4 linked regions of the Xenopus tropicalis genome follow. The protein of the gene in region 4 interacts with the protein of the main gene of each other region in a pairwise test. Links are inferred from orthologs where the notes say so. Each region holds a gene or a part of one and is shown on either strand. Other genes may lie near its edges.

Region 1 (2,760 bases), about 81 Mb from region 4:
CAAATAAACTCTATCCCCCATATGTAATAAAAGGCACCAAGTTTGCCCAAGAGCAGTAACCAATAGCAATTGATGTTTGCTTTTAAACAAGTGACCAGTAAATGATTCCTGCTGGTTGCAATAGGTTACTGCTCCTGGCCAAACTTGGTGCCTGTAATTACATAGACGGGATGGAGTTTATCCAAGAAATTCAAACTTACCGAAATTATTTTATTGCATAACCAGTCTTTTATTACATAACCCCCTATGGCTTTTCCACCACAGTCATTGTCTGAGTTTTTTTTTTATTTTGGTTTATTTTCATTAGTACTCCCTTCTACCCCATGCCATAACCAGGCGAAAGGTGTTTAACTTCATGTGAGATAAACTATTCCAGCCATGTAAAATACATGTGCTGTACAAAAAAAGATACCAGAATTACTTGGGAATGAATGCAGTAACAGTAGTCTAAAATAGGGCAGGTTTAATAATTAGGACTAACCAATAGAGTTTAACATGTATCTAGTCAGAATATGTAGGAAGGATCTATTTATTCCTATATTGAACAAATATTTACATGAATGTGACATGAAATCCAATAGATAGCACTTCACTTTAGTCTATGAGATATAAAATACAGGTTAATAAGGTTCATCTGCATGGGGTCCAGCATCCTCACTATATCAGTCAGCTGTTGTTCAGTTTATCCAAAAGCTGCTCCATGAACTGCAGAAAAGATCTCTTTCCTTGAGATGGAATTAAAGGAGAATGCAGCAGCAGAGATGGCAGTCTGGACATCGGAGCAGTTAGTCATGTTTGTACTTGCCTATACTTTATCAATACATTTCTCCAAAAAAAGTAGAGCTCAAGCACATTTCTTTTTTTTACGGGTGGGGTTTTTAGTTCCAGCCTCCAGCGCCCTAATTTGAACCCCCTGGCGTTTTTTGCTGGTTTTGTCCACCACTGTCTCCATGTTGTCCCACACTTCATCTTCCTCCTCCTTAACATCCTGCTCTGCAGCTGAAGTTACATCATCTTCCTAAAATGAAACCAGACGTACTGTGTAAAGACATTACCAGAGCTTTGGGATGTGCTCATACATTTTTAGTTTGGTCTACTTAACCGCAGCAAATCAACAGCACAAACCATGGCAGCATACCTACGGATCAAGCAATTATTGCTTAGAAATTCACATCTCCAAGCGGTAATCGCCTGACCCAGCACTGGCAGGGTCAGCTTAACTAACAACTTGCCCATTTCTGACCTTGTTAACAGAGTAATGGGTGTGGTCTGATAGGACTTCGGATGTGGATAAGGCTTAGGATTACACAGGACAAGTCTCTTAAGTTTTTCTTATAGCCTGAATAAAGTTTTCCAATGCATATATTACCCTATACCAAAACCCAGGTGCCAGCAGAGCTTGAGTCTTACCTCCCATTTGTCACGTGACGTTAAGAGAAGGCAGTTTAACCGAGACTTCAGATACACCTTAAAAAAAAGAAAATAGTATGTAGAACGGTGTGACATGCAACTTCTTTCTGCTCTGAAACTCCTGTTTTGGGATCCAAGATTATACTATTCCATGTGTAACTATTTGTGGGTCTTTACTAAGGGGTTAATGCACACAATTAGACATACTTTTTCTTGCATAAGAAATAATACTAGTAGCTTGTATTTGATTGTGCAGAAGAGTGCAAGCACTTCAAATAGATTTTAGTTACATAATGAAACGCATACAAGGAGATCAGCACCTTGTGCTGCAGTTCTTTGTTCTCATAGTTGTGGATTCGAAGGAACCTGTCAAGCCCACAGGAAGCCACAATAGGCATGGATGAGTGGCACTGGATGGAGCGTATGGATCCAGCACTTCCCTTGAGAGCACAAAGCAATCGGCCTGGGAAGGGAATTAAAAATGATGAAGTGGGACAGAGAGACCAAAAGTACATTTGAGTACAAACTTGAGACTCTTACCTTTCCTTAGATCGATAACTGCCATATTCCCATGGGAATTTCCAACAATGACAGACCTACACAACAACACAAGAGAGTAACATGATCTTGGTACAATTGTTTTTAATTCACTGTCAAATGTTCAATCCCAAAATGTCCACTTCCAACAAAATGTCTTATTTAATGGGTTTCTCTTGGTACAGGTATTTTCTTTCTAAAGCAAAGGTGTAGGTTCTATACAAATGATATACTATGGTTATATTAAAGCATGGTGCTCATATCACTAGTTTCACAAAAAAGAAGAAAAGCAGAGCACCACAAAAATGAAAATAAAAACTCAGTCTTTATTCCAGCATCAGTAAAAGGCACATATACATCCCAAAGGACCTACGCTTGATGCGTTTCGTGGCGTCCCGCCACTTCCTCAGAAGCATGCTTCGCTCATATCACTACATGCACTTGTGATATGAGCAAAGTATGAATCAAAACACGGGAGCACTTACCACTCAAAACAGGTGTGCTACACGCGGATCCTTTTCCCAGTGGATCCCTAATATAGATTCACAAAAGCATGCTTCTGAGGAAGTGGCGGGACGCCACGAAACGCGTCAAGCATAGGTCCTTTGGGATGTATATGTGCCTTTTACTGATGCTGGAATAAAGACTGAGTTTTTATTTTCATTTTTTTGGTGGTCTGCTTTTCTTCTTTTTTGTGAATCTATATTAGGGATCCACTGGGAGAAGGATCCGCGTGTAGCACACCTGTTTTGAGCGGTAAGTGCTCCCGTGTTTTGATTCATACTTTGCTCATATCACTAGTGCATGTACTGT
Region 2 (3,519 bases), on a different chromosome or scaffold from region 4:
CTATATAAGTGTAGTGGTCCACCCAGCTGCTATTTTATACTTCTACTGTAAGTGAATATTTTTACACCACACAGTGCAGATGCCAGAAGCACAGGGACATTAAATGAGTTTCCAAGGACCCGGGAACAGAATGGTCCAATGGTGGGATATTTGCCAATAAATTTCCGAAACATCTGAGCTGGCATTACAGTAACACCTAATTAATAATGTATACAGTTTAAGTTCAGGAAAACAATATTCCACTGACACAAATCTTTTCTTTAATGATTTATTTCCCCCCGGGAAAATTTTCTGTGGATGCCCATGCCTGCATTCTGTTCTGTGGCCTCCCTGCTATTCCTGTAAAACCCAGTTCACACACAGCTGTTACTAATCCTGCCTCTGGCCCATACACTACATCATTCTGCTCTATCTGTATGGATCCTGCTCATACAGCTGTCAGCACAGATCCAGCCTTGCCTAATCTCTCACCCCTTCACTCACCTGCTTCTTGCTGTCACGGAAGATTTCCCCTGCATTCTCAATCACATCCTCATCACTTAGTTCACCATATGGTTGCTCCTTGCACAGCATTAAAATTTCCCACAACGTCACGCCAAAAGCCCACACATCACTGGCTGTGGTGAATTTTCCCTGTATGAAAATTATATTTTGGATCAGTTCTTAATAGTGTTGCATACACGAATACACATACAGTGATTAGACATGGGATAAAGAGAATGCTCAAAAGGAGGGAGAAGGGGTGGAGGTTGGCGTGAATGCCATAATGAGTCAAGAGAAGGCTGCAAAGTACTGGAACGGCCATCATAACTGCTGTTGCCTATTTTATGAATTAGAACGCACATGTGGCAGACTGTGTTGCCTGCAACCTGCCAGAGCAAATCTACACACAGTCGTATAAATCAGATTTTATTCTCAGGTGTCAGTGACTTATAGTCAGGGCTGATATTCAGAAGGCTCACAATGAGTTGCCAACCCAAGTCTCTTTTTTTCTTTTTTTTTTCTACATGGCTAATTAAAAAGTTAACTCACAATATTTAAAAGGCAAATGAAAAGATTAGTTCATTTTACATAGAAGTCCACATGACAGCACTCCAATAAACAGATAAAAATGCCTTTATTTAGTCATTTAGAGCACAGAATAGCAACTTTTGAAGTCTATATGGCTGCGTGTTTTTTTGACATCATCAGTGAAGGACATTTCTGGCTTCTAAACAGCATTTAGGACACTTTCCCCCAGACAATATTTGTCATTGCCAGTGTGCTGCTTAGGAGAAATTATGAAATAAAAAATTATTAATCTTGGGCTTGTTTTCTCTGGAGAAAAGGTGCTTGCAAGGGGACATGTTTACTTTTTACATTACAAGTACATTAGAGGGCATTACCAACTTTAAGCTTGAGGAACAGAACTTTCATTTGAAGCAGCAAAACGTTTTTTCATTCTAAGGGCAGTGAGGTTTTGGAATGCTTTGCTGGGTGACATTATGAAGGCAGAGACTATCAATGTGTTTAGGAGGGGCTTAGATGACTTCTTGGACAAGTATAATATCACAGGCTACAGTAAACCCTACACAGTTATTTTAGTTTAATATAGACATGTGTATATATACTTTATATATTTCAGTGCACATAAAGGTCTGCATAGGTATGTGTGTACATATATATGCACTGGGGGTTATTTGGAAGGTTTGAATTTAATGAAATATTATCGCTTTTCAAACCAAATTAAGTATGCAACACTGTATGTTCAAGTTTATTATATGGACAAATGAATTCTAACATAACTATGCTCACCATAAGTATGCACTCCCAGGCCATCCATCTAATTGGCAGTACTGCCCTGCCCTGTATTCGGTAGTAGTCTCCAGCATACAAGTTGCGGCTCATCCCAAAATCTGCAATCTTTATGGTGAAGTTTTCCCCCACCAAGCAATTTCTTGAGGCCAGGTCCCGGTGTACAAAGTTAAGGGACGAAAGGTATTTCATTCCAGAACAAATCTGCACAGCCACGTGCAATAGGCTGGGGTAACTGCAGGGGAGACAAAAATAATAACAATAAACAGAATGAGTGTAGGACAAATAGATAACTATAGACAGTGAGTCATTTCAGAGTGGTTCCCACACCTGATAGCAGGCAGACATTGTGCTCCACTTTCCTCTCCTTCATCCAGGTGATGGGAACTCAGAAACTGATTGAGATCTCCATTTTCCATATACTCTGTGATCATGCAGAGCGGATCTTCATCCAGACAAGCACCCAGCAGACGGATAATGTGAGGATCACTCAGACGGGACAAGATCTTCAGTTCCTTCAGGAAATCGCTTCTGTAGGCAGGAATGCAAAAAAAAGTACCATGCTGATACATAGTGCTGACTGCATTTCAACCATATGTATACTTTTTATGAACAGTGTTTCTGATGGGAAGTAATACCTATAGGCAGATAATGAGAAGTGCCCTTTATTGACATTCAATGAATAGTAATAAAATGGTGTATTGTCATACCAGAAAGCCATAATTATGGAGCACCATGAGATGCTCTTATTTAAAATATGACTTTGGCTACTAAAATAAGGGGTAAAAATGGTTCAGACTGAGCATTTAAAGACTAAATAATAACCCACAATCAGTTCAGTAAATAATAATCAATTTACCTTGCATTCTTATTGGCATCGGCTCTCAACAATTTAACAGCCACAAGCAGGCTTCTTCCCTTGCGCATGTTAAATGGAAACTGTAAAGTGGGGAGCTCATGAGGATTCACTACTTCACACAGGTGTACCTGAAAAAATGATACATTATGTACATAAAACCAGCAAAAGCTGAAGGGTCCTGTAAGAGAAGCAGAAAAAAGAGGCACAGCAAAAGAATGTATGATTTTGCAGGGCTAATGAACAAAGAAATTGGTAGGACTGTACATGATGAAGATCGGAGTGGGAGTATGGTTAAGCATTATAGTAACATAGTAACATAGTAAGTTGGGTTGAAAAAAGACATACGTCCATCAAGTTCAACCATAATGCCTATACCTAACCTGCCTAACTACAAGTTGATCCAGAGGAAGGCAAAAAACCCCATCTGAAGCCTCTCTAATTTGCCTCAGAGGGGAAAAAATTCCTTCCTGACTCCAAGATGGCAATCGGACCAGTCCCTGTATCAACTTGTACTAAGAGCTATCTCCCATAACCGTGTATTCCCTCACTTGCTAAGAATCCATCCAGCCCCTTCTTAAAGCTATATAATGTATCAGCCAGTACGACTGATTCGGGGAGGGAATTCCACAACTTCACAGCTCTCACTGTAAAAAATCCTTTCCGAATATTTAAATGGAACCTCCCTTCTTCTAAACGGAGTGGGTGCCCTCGTGTCCATTATGTTAAGATGTAAAGATCATTTTTGAAGTAAACAAAAGCAGCACTTACCTCTCCAAACTGCCCCTCACCCAGCTTCTCCTTAAAAAGGAGATGTCCACGGGGGAATTTACAAAGAGGCAAGTCTTTGGAAGCGAGGGAGTCGGCAG
Region 3 (4,108 bases), on a different chromosome or scaffold from region 4:
TGTTTACAGCATATACCAGGCATGCACACCCTCAGTGATTTTTACCTTTCCTTCTCCTTTAACATCAGTCCCTGCAATTAGGTCTCACACATTTATACATTAGGGTGGTCACTCTGATCAAGAGACAGTTAACATATTGTATTTATATTTTAGTTTTTATATATATATATATTTTTTTTTTTTTTTTTTTTTTTTTTAAATGGGAGTAATGCCACTTTGGAAACCTGCAAAGTTGGTACTTGTCCCAAAATACGCTTATTCTCTTATACAGAGAGAAGAAATTTTAATGTAGGATTTATTTAGCGACATTGATCGATACTTTTGTACGGCACTGTATATACATTGTATGCAGAGTGTGGGACTTTCTAAATTAAATATTGTACCGTTATGCCAAGGCACCAACTAATGAAGCAAACATAAGTCATGTACCAGAAGCTACAAGTGGAAAATACTACCCAACAGTCTGATATATTTAAACCTCGAAATAAATCAATTTATTTGACACCACCAAATCACTGTTGTTAAATGAGTTTACTATGATATTTTTCTAACATTGTAAATGCTGGGACTTTTAGAGCACATATAAAAGCTGATATCTTCACAGACATTCATTTACAAAGTCAGAGACAACTGGTTCTTGATGGATAGTTTTACATTGTTCCCTGAGCATGACAACTGAAAATGAAATGCATGAATGCAATGGGCCCTTAAAACTGGTTAAAGTAATATCCAAGGAGAACAAAACCCTTCCTCAGTCATTTTTTAAAAATTCCATCCCCTGCCATGACAAAGACCCATACCAGTGCTATTTGGGATGCCCTGTACCTGGCCCAACAAAGCAGAATAGCATAGTGGACTTGTTGACCTCCATGTCTGCCTGTATCACCAAATCAGCTTACAATGATCAACACATTGGATCCTTCATGCATATGTGGCACAGTCAGACATGGTGGCTGCAAACCCTATTGATATACTTTTTTTTTGTTAGGCCAGATAAAGGGCATGGGGCAACTTATGGGGTAGCATTAGATATCACTGGGGAGGGGGATATTTTAAATTGGGTGTTTGCTTTTAAACAAAGGAATGGGACCTATGCTAAAGCTACACTAGGGTGAAAGGCAAAACAAATAAATGGGAGAACAAACAATTATTTATACAGGGAACAAACAATTATACAGGCTGCTGTGGCCTGGTCTTCCAGGCTACATACTGCAAGTACTGCACATGTTTAAAGTTTTAAACTAATGTCAAATATTGACAGCACAAAATAAGCTTAGCACATTGGGGTCATTTATAAAAAAAAAAAAACTTTGCAAATTAGCACCTAGGCAGTAACCTTTAGTAACCAATCAGAAGTTTGCTTTCATTACTCCACCTGTAGTTGTCTGGAAAAATTATATCAATGATTGGTTGCTATGGGGGATTACTGTCCAGGTGCAAATTTGCCCAGTTTTTATAAATGAGCCCAGTAACATCTGTTATGAGGTAAAGTTATTGACTGGGAAAGTGATGGCATGCAGCTGCTCAAAGCTTTAGGAAAATGCTGCACCTTACCATCTCTGTCATTTGCAAAGATAATCATTTTAACATGATTTGGTTAAAGTAATTGGGTGCAAGACCTGTCCCTTGTTCTGTTCCATACTTATGAACTAGAATTATCAGAGCAGAATTTATTCACATTACTGAAACTAGAACCTAGCACTTGAGAAAAATGTGGAAAAGGCGAGATTGCTAATCACTGCAGGGGAGAGATCTTCAGTGGGATCATAATACGGGACTCCATATTCCTGACAAGTGGAACTGAAAAATATAACAACGTTAGCTTTTTAGAAAATAATCACAGACAGGATTTTTAAATATTTCAGTTTTAAAAAAACATGATTCCCAGCATCTCATTAACAGCCATAACAAGAACTTGTAGTATATGAAGTAGAAAACTATGAAAATTACTTTTCAGCACATGGTCACACATTAATGAAAATCAAGTTCTAACATCTTTTTCTACAATGCGAAAAAACACCTTGTGCTGTATGTTAAATTATGTATTCTAAATGGTACATTTTACCATCACAGCAAATACACTGGTCATTAATTGGGTTATAAAGAAAGTGACTGATATAAGGGAATTATACTGATCTATTATTAGAATCACTGTAAACATTTGGTACATTACCTGTATAGTATACATTCTCATCCCATCCTCGTTTGGTCCAAGCAGCTTTACGTGTCTCTTCTCTGGACTCAAGATCTTTGTAAGCTAATACACAGGCAAAGAACTGATTTTATTTGCTAGTTTAAGGTCACTAAATGCAATATCCTATTTTCAATGATATTCTAAATATTTAAACTTTTTTTGTTAACTAAAAACTTTCAGAATCCATAAACAAGGCAAAATAGTTAATATTCACCACCACACATACAGTATTAGTAAAGTATAAAATTTTGTTTAGTTTTATTTTAAGGTAAAAAGCAATAATAAAGAAACAAAGTATGTCTAGCTCAACCTTTTTTTTTTTTTGTGAGCCACTCAAGTATGAAAAAAAGTTCTTTGGGGACGCCAAATAAGGCCTGTGATTGGCTATTTGGTAGCCCCATGTGGACTGCTAGCCTGTTTGGAGTAAAACGGTGTGTCTGTGATTTAAAACCTGCCTCCTAGCTAATAGTTTGTGATCACTGGTCTAGCAGTTAGGCACAACCATATATGACTTGTCACTGTTCGTAGACAAAAGCAGCAACAGAGCAATAACAGCAAAAGGGTATTCTACAAATATTATGAACTAAGGAAAAGTCATATGGTATGATTTGCTCAAAAAACGTCCAGTTAGGAAAGGAAAGGTGGTAGACTCTTTGAGATGGACCATCTCAAAAGAGTTGAAGCATAAAAAGTACAAAAAAACACCAACCATAGGTAGTTACTAAACATCCATTTAGAAGAGATGTTATAAATCCATTATAACATCAAAAGTCAAACAATCAAAAACAGTTTAAGAAAATTTTTTTATGATTTATTTGTTAAAAAACAAAAAAACTCACTTTTCTCTTTTACCAACAAACCTACAAGCTTTTTGACATTATTCTATCACAGGTATTGCTTGTTCTGAATTTTTGGTAAAGTTTCATGAACATAAGAATCTGGACATTATATATAATCACGTCCTTTGTTAGAACCATCATTGTTGAGTTCCAAACTGTATTTGGAACTAACATGAGCACAGGGACTATTGTAAAGGCAAGGTTTTTTTTTTTTAATTGTGCACACAAGCCTCCCACATGTAATGCAAAATGTCAACTGCATTGTTTTAATATTGCTGTTATTTGATTCACTAAAGCAGTGGACCGTGTACTCTGGAAGGATGAATCATGCATCCGGCAATATGATGGATTCACAACTACCTGTCAGCACAGCCTAAAATTAGAAATATGTTTTAAGAATAATGGGGTTATGTAATAAAAAGCACAATGTTTGCCCAAGAGCAGAAACCCACAGCAATCAAACAAGGAGGCAGCATTTACTGGTCACCTGTTTAAAAGCAAACATCCTATTGGTTGCTATGGGTTATAGCACCAGGGCAAACTTAGTTTATTTTTTTACATATGGGGGTGGGTTATACTATCCCTATAGATGTGGTAATGGCAGATTCTGTTAATGCCTTTAAGAGGGGCCTAGATGAGTTCTTGAACAATCAGAATATCCAAGGCTATTGTGATACTAATATCTACAGTTAGTACTAGTGGTTGTATTTATAGTTTATGTATGTGAGTGTATAGATTGGTAGGTGTGGGTTAGGTGTGCTGGGTTTACTTGGATGGGTTGAACTTGATGGACACTGGTCTTTTTTCAACCCTATGTAACTATGTAACAATAAATAGTCATCTTGAGACAGATCACCATGTTTTCACGGCCCATCAGTGATGCCCACTGCTTAAAGCTGGCATAATAAATACTTCTCTGCCTATCTGGACCCAACACACAACCTACAGAAACCAACAGAAACCTTAAGTAATTGCCCAGACAAACAGATGGGCCTTTTTAGACTGTCCTAATATAAAAGAGGCAAGGCAAGTCGCATTTACCAAAATGTCTGATCACACCCTGCCTATTTGTGAT
Region 4 (4,096 bases):
TGGTAGAATTCAGACTGAATAAAGCGTGGGTATGAATTATTCACCATCAAGCTGTACACCCGTCTCTGGGCAGCGCTGAAGCAGGAGTGTGAAGGTTCCTGCATGGTTTGCATAATGTTTTCCCGAGTTTGAAAGTCAATGTTAATCTGCAGGAAAGATATAAAAATAAAGTTATGAATTGGTCCTGATGTTTAATGAAAAATAACACATTTTTAGGCTTGATTTTAAAATATATCTCTTGTTAAATAGGTGATGGTCTGGGAGAAATCATAGTATTTTCCTTTGTAAGCTCTGCTACTTGAAAAATACCAGTGTTTCGGCTTAGGAGACTAAAGTGTTCTCTTTGTGACTAGTGCACTTGAGCTACACCCATAGGTAAGATAGGTTATGCACACAATGCTTTCATCACCATTACATTAAAATGCTATTTAGAGAACATAAACGGTAACTGTGTCAAAAGACTTCTTAAAATAACTATGCAAACAAATGGCTGCATTACTCAAACACAACTCTAGTATGATATCGTATTTACTAAGCAACGACTACATTGGGGTAATGGTTCTGGCATGTAGCTGCTTACCTCTTTGGGGGCTTCCTTTTCAATGAATTCATCATAAATCTTCTTTGCTTTTGCTGTCAGCTTGTGTGGGGATTTGGTCTTTTTAAAATCTTCACATGCCAGCCAGAACTCAATATTCTCTTCACTGAACTCGGATTTTAAAAAGGCTCTGAATGCTGCTACTCCGTCTGTTAACAAGAGAGAAACAAATGTGTTAATTACTTTTTCCTGTAATGATAATGAACTTCAAAATCCTTGGGCTACTTATATGCTTTTCTATGCTATAACTATTCTCTGATTCCTTTTATGAAACTGATTAGATAGACAGACAGATAGATAGATAGATAGATAGATAGATAGATAGATAGATAGATAGAGATAGATAGAAAGATAGATAGAAGATAGAAAGAAAGAAAGAAAAAGTTTTCTGCATCTAGGTTGTGGCATATCATAATGGTTGTGCACCTTTTAAGCTGTATATTAATACACGCACACTATATATGTATGGTCCACAGAAATACTGATTCCCCTTAATATTTATCTATCTGCTGTGCCCAAATTAGTTTCTGATAATAACTTACATTTGCTGGCAAGAAGATCATCAAAGGTTTCTGACCAACTCTTGGCTTCTTCTGGAGTGGGCCTGAAAGATAGACAGGGATCATGAATACTTCTGCTTAGTTTCCCATTGCCTTACAAAGAACAATATTACATTCAGGTAGTGAGATATAATCAATCTCTATATACTGTACCTGCAATAGGCGTTCTTTTTGCCTCTTTTGTTCTGCCCCATATTTAAGGACCCGTTGGATGTGTTCTGAGAATTCTGCAGGAAGTAGCTCAGACGTGTCTTCCAATCTTTTAAACTGCAAAGGGAAAGAGAATCTTTTATTAAAACTCTTTAAACGCCACAGCGCAGTTCAGTGTTAGAAAGCAGAATAAAGGCATCAAAAATTCTGTTGCCTGGAAATGAAAATTGCCTCTAAACTTGCCCAGCTGTGAAGGGGTTAACTCCCAGGCTATCTAATTAGTTCTGCAGCCTAGCGAAGATCTTGTGACCTTTAGTCTGTTTCTTTTTAAAGGCAAGTCGCCTGTTGCTTTAAGGAAGACTTTTGATCTGCTGAAAGTATTTATAGCTAAACTTCAGAGCAAAGTACAATACCATCTGTGTCAGGGCGGCAGCTCACTCCCCTAGGGAGCAGTTAACAATTAACGTTTCTATATTTGGACCATGGTTCCACATCAGATATTAAAATTAAAAAGGGCAACATAAATACTGAGGTTTAATTGCTGCAATCTAAAGATCTAATTAGGGATATATAGAGGGTTAGATAAGAGTGGCTTTTATAGACTCAATTAATCTTTGTATCTTTGTTAAACATTATCTTACCCAACGTAATCTATCTCATAAGTGCGTCACACTCGGTATGACTAGTTATTACTCGTGTTGGCACATTTTAAGGAAACACAAGAGGCCATTGCAGTTGCTTCTCCCAGCTGTGCAACGTATGTTGCCTGTATGAGATCATTGCATTACTGTACAGCCCAGGAATGACTTATTCACTGAGGCTCTCGCTGCCGCCATCCTGACTATTCCTGCGCTTTTACTACTCTACAAGCAATTGGTTTCCATTATCCATATTTTAATAAAAAGCAAATCTTACTGCATTACTGTACTCTTATGTCAGCAAAATAAAATAATATTAATAAACCTAATGCAATAATGTGAATAGGCACGGTTTAGTAGTTTTCACGCATGCATCTGGAAACTGAAAATAGTTTGAATGCAAAAAGTTGCACAGGGACTTAAAAGCAGTGTAAAACTATCCTTAAAAGCTGGTATTTAACTGATGCCCAGTATTATATATATATGTCTATATAAGAAGATATGCAGCAGAAGAAATACATTCTGCAATAAATGCCAGTGCCATTGGTTTTTAGGGAAAGCAGCCATAGAGAACTGAGCTCTGTAGGGAGAGCCCATGCCATTTGCAATGCTCGGTTCCCTCTGCAGAGCGCAAAGCAGCAGATAATACAGACTGACAGCAATGTGTATAGAAACTTACATAGTTTTCTTCATCTTCCCTCTTTTCTCCTCGTTTTTCTGACAGCCTCCAGGAGACGAGCGTTCGACTTGCCCACAGTTGTGCTGAATGGCAAGAAACATTGCACTCTGCATAATGTCCCTCAATGGATTTGTATTAGTCCCAGAGCTCTCTTCTGCTAGTTCTGTCAGTGAGTCAGTGATGCTGCTAGAGAGCTAGGATGATTTGTCTCTATACAGACTGCTGAGGCTCAACTTTATATGCACCCAAGGTGGGGCTGGGCTTAGGCGCCCCCTCCCTTGCGCCTCTGCTATTGGCTGAGCCAGTTCCTGGCAGTTTGGTAAATCTCTAGTGCTGACGTCTTTGTCTGGGGCTGCTGCAAGTGTATGTGTGCTAGAGCTGCTGCTTCTCCTGGGCTCCTGGCAACTACACTGAAAACTAGTGATTAAGCACCCTGTATATTAAGCACCTTGTATATTATTCTTCTTTATTCTCAGCTGTATGCAAAAGGCAAACAAAATATCCAAACCCCCTTTTATCCTGGGAGAATTTCTGTTGCAGCAAGTAGGAAAGGGAAACTTCAATCTCCCACTGACATTATATGCATTATACATTGTATAACAGCAATAGGGAGCTCTCCTTTTTGCTTAGTATTAGTCCAGCTGCGCTTGGAAAACTGTGTTGCTTTGATGGCACAGGGACATGGAATTGATGGCTGGTGTAGTTCTGTTTTCCTACAGAATAATGTTAAAGCTTATGCACGGCTTTTCCCTCTTTCTGTATACTTTGCTTAACAGCTATTCTAATGGTTACCATAACTTCTAAGAGACCATAAAAGTTTTAAGAATCCTTACTGCAGCTCCAATCATTTGTGAGCTCTTACAGGTGGCACATCTATGGGCTATACATCAGCTTGAAGCCCAGTCTGTACTGTGCAACTGGTATTCCTTACAGATATATACAATATATGTATAAATGTCCTTTATTGCAACATTCAGTTTAAGTTTCATAGGGGCATATAGGGGATATGGGGAGACAAGCATTTTAGAAAAACAGAAGGAGATGTTTCATATATGGAAATTTACATTGTTCTTTGTTCAACTATTTCTAGCACCGATCTGGCTTATGTTGCCAGGCAATGTACGCTGTAGGGGTTTTCAAGAAGGGTTTCTTAGGTGAATGTCTCATAAGCATAAGAGTATACATGTATAAGGAATATTGGAGGAAAAAAAGTGTAAGAATCTTTCCCCTGCACCACGGGTTTCCTATTGTAAATTCTGTGTTCTTAGGTTGATCTCTGTTTTGTTTATGTAGGGAGGGGGAGGCTATAATAACAATAGGGATAAACAGAGGGACAGCTCACATTAAAATGAACATGTAGCTTGATGTAGACAAATTACAGAATGAGACAATTTGCAATTAGTTTTTTTTGTGTGTGTATTTTTTATAAGATCTAACTTCTGGTTTTGCATCTCTCGGGTTTGATATTTAT

The links.
Region 1: the proteins of rgs2 (region 4) and wdr74 interact in a two-hybrid assay, tested with the Homo sapiens proteins (2 studies listed by BioGRID and IntAct). The link is inferred for Xenopus tropicalis from reciprocal best matches to the Homo sapiens genes RGS2 and WDR74.
Region 2: the proteins of rgs2 (region 4) and ddr1 interact in a two-hybrid assay, tested with the Homo sapiens proteins (2 studies listed by BioGRID and IntAct). The link is inferred for Xenopus tropicalis from reciprocal best matches to the Homo sapiens genes RGS2 and DDR1.
Region 3: the proteins of rgs2 (region 4) and nipsnap1 interact in a two-hybrid assay, tested with the Homo sapiens proteins (2 studies listed by BioGRID and IntAct). The link is inferred for Xenopus tropicalis from reciprocal best matches to the Homo sapiens genes RGS2 and NIPSNAP1.

What each region holds. Positions count from the first base shown.
Region 1 is NC_030680.2:36,483,005-36,485,764, reverse strand, and holds the end of wdr74 (WD repeat-containing protein 74), read right to left. Parts: intron 2,007-2,760; coding exon 1,951-2,006; intron 1,874-1,950; coding exon 1,731-1,873; intron 1,468-1,730; coding exon 1,411-1,467; intron 1,019-1,410; coding exon 845-1,018; 3' UTR 514-844; downstream 1-513. UniProt on the Homo sapiens protein: Regulatory protein of the MTREX-exosome complex involved in the synthesis of the 60S ribosomal subunit. Participates in an early cleavage of the pre-rRNA processing pathway in cooperation with NVL.
Region 2 is NC_030684.2:75,321,478-75,324,996, reverse strand, and holds part of ddr1 (epithelial discoidin domain-containing receptor 1), read right to left. Parts: coding exon 3,422-3,519; intron 2,782-3,421; coding exon 2,654-2,781; intron 2,326-2,653; coding exon 2,125-2,325; intron 2,030-2,124; coding exon 1,795-2,029; intron 634-1,794; coding exon 484-633; intron 1-483. UniProt on the Homo sapiens protein: Tyrosine kinase that functions as a cell surface receptor for fibrillar collagen and regulates cell attachment to the extracellular matrix, remodeling of the extracellular matrix, cell migration, differentiation, survival and cell proliferation.
Region 3 is NC_030677.2:144,811,229-144,815,336, reverse strand, and holds the end of nipsnap1 (protein NipSnap homolog 1), read right to left. Parts: intron 2,258-4,108; coding exon 2,174-2,257; intron 1,801-2,173; coding exon 1,736-1,800; 3' UTR 514-1,735; downstream 1-513.
Region 4 is NC_030680.2:117,678,598-117,682,693, reverse strand, and holds the start of rgs2 (regulator of G-protein signaling 2), read right to left. Parts: upstream 2,816-4,096; 5' UTR 2,739-2,815; coding exon 2,626-2,738; intron 1,426-2,625; coding exon 1,312-1,425; intron 1,203-1,311; coding exon 1,141-1,202; intron 748-1,140; coding exon 581-747; intron 147-580; coding exon 1-146. UniProt on the Homo sapiens protein: Regulates G protein-coupled receptor signaling cascades. Inhibits signal transduction by increasing the GTPase activity of G protein alpha subunits, thereby driving them into their inactive GDP-bound form.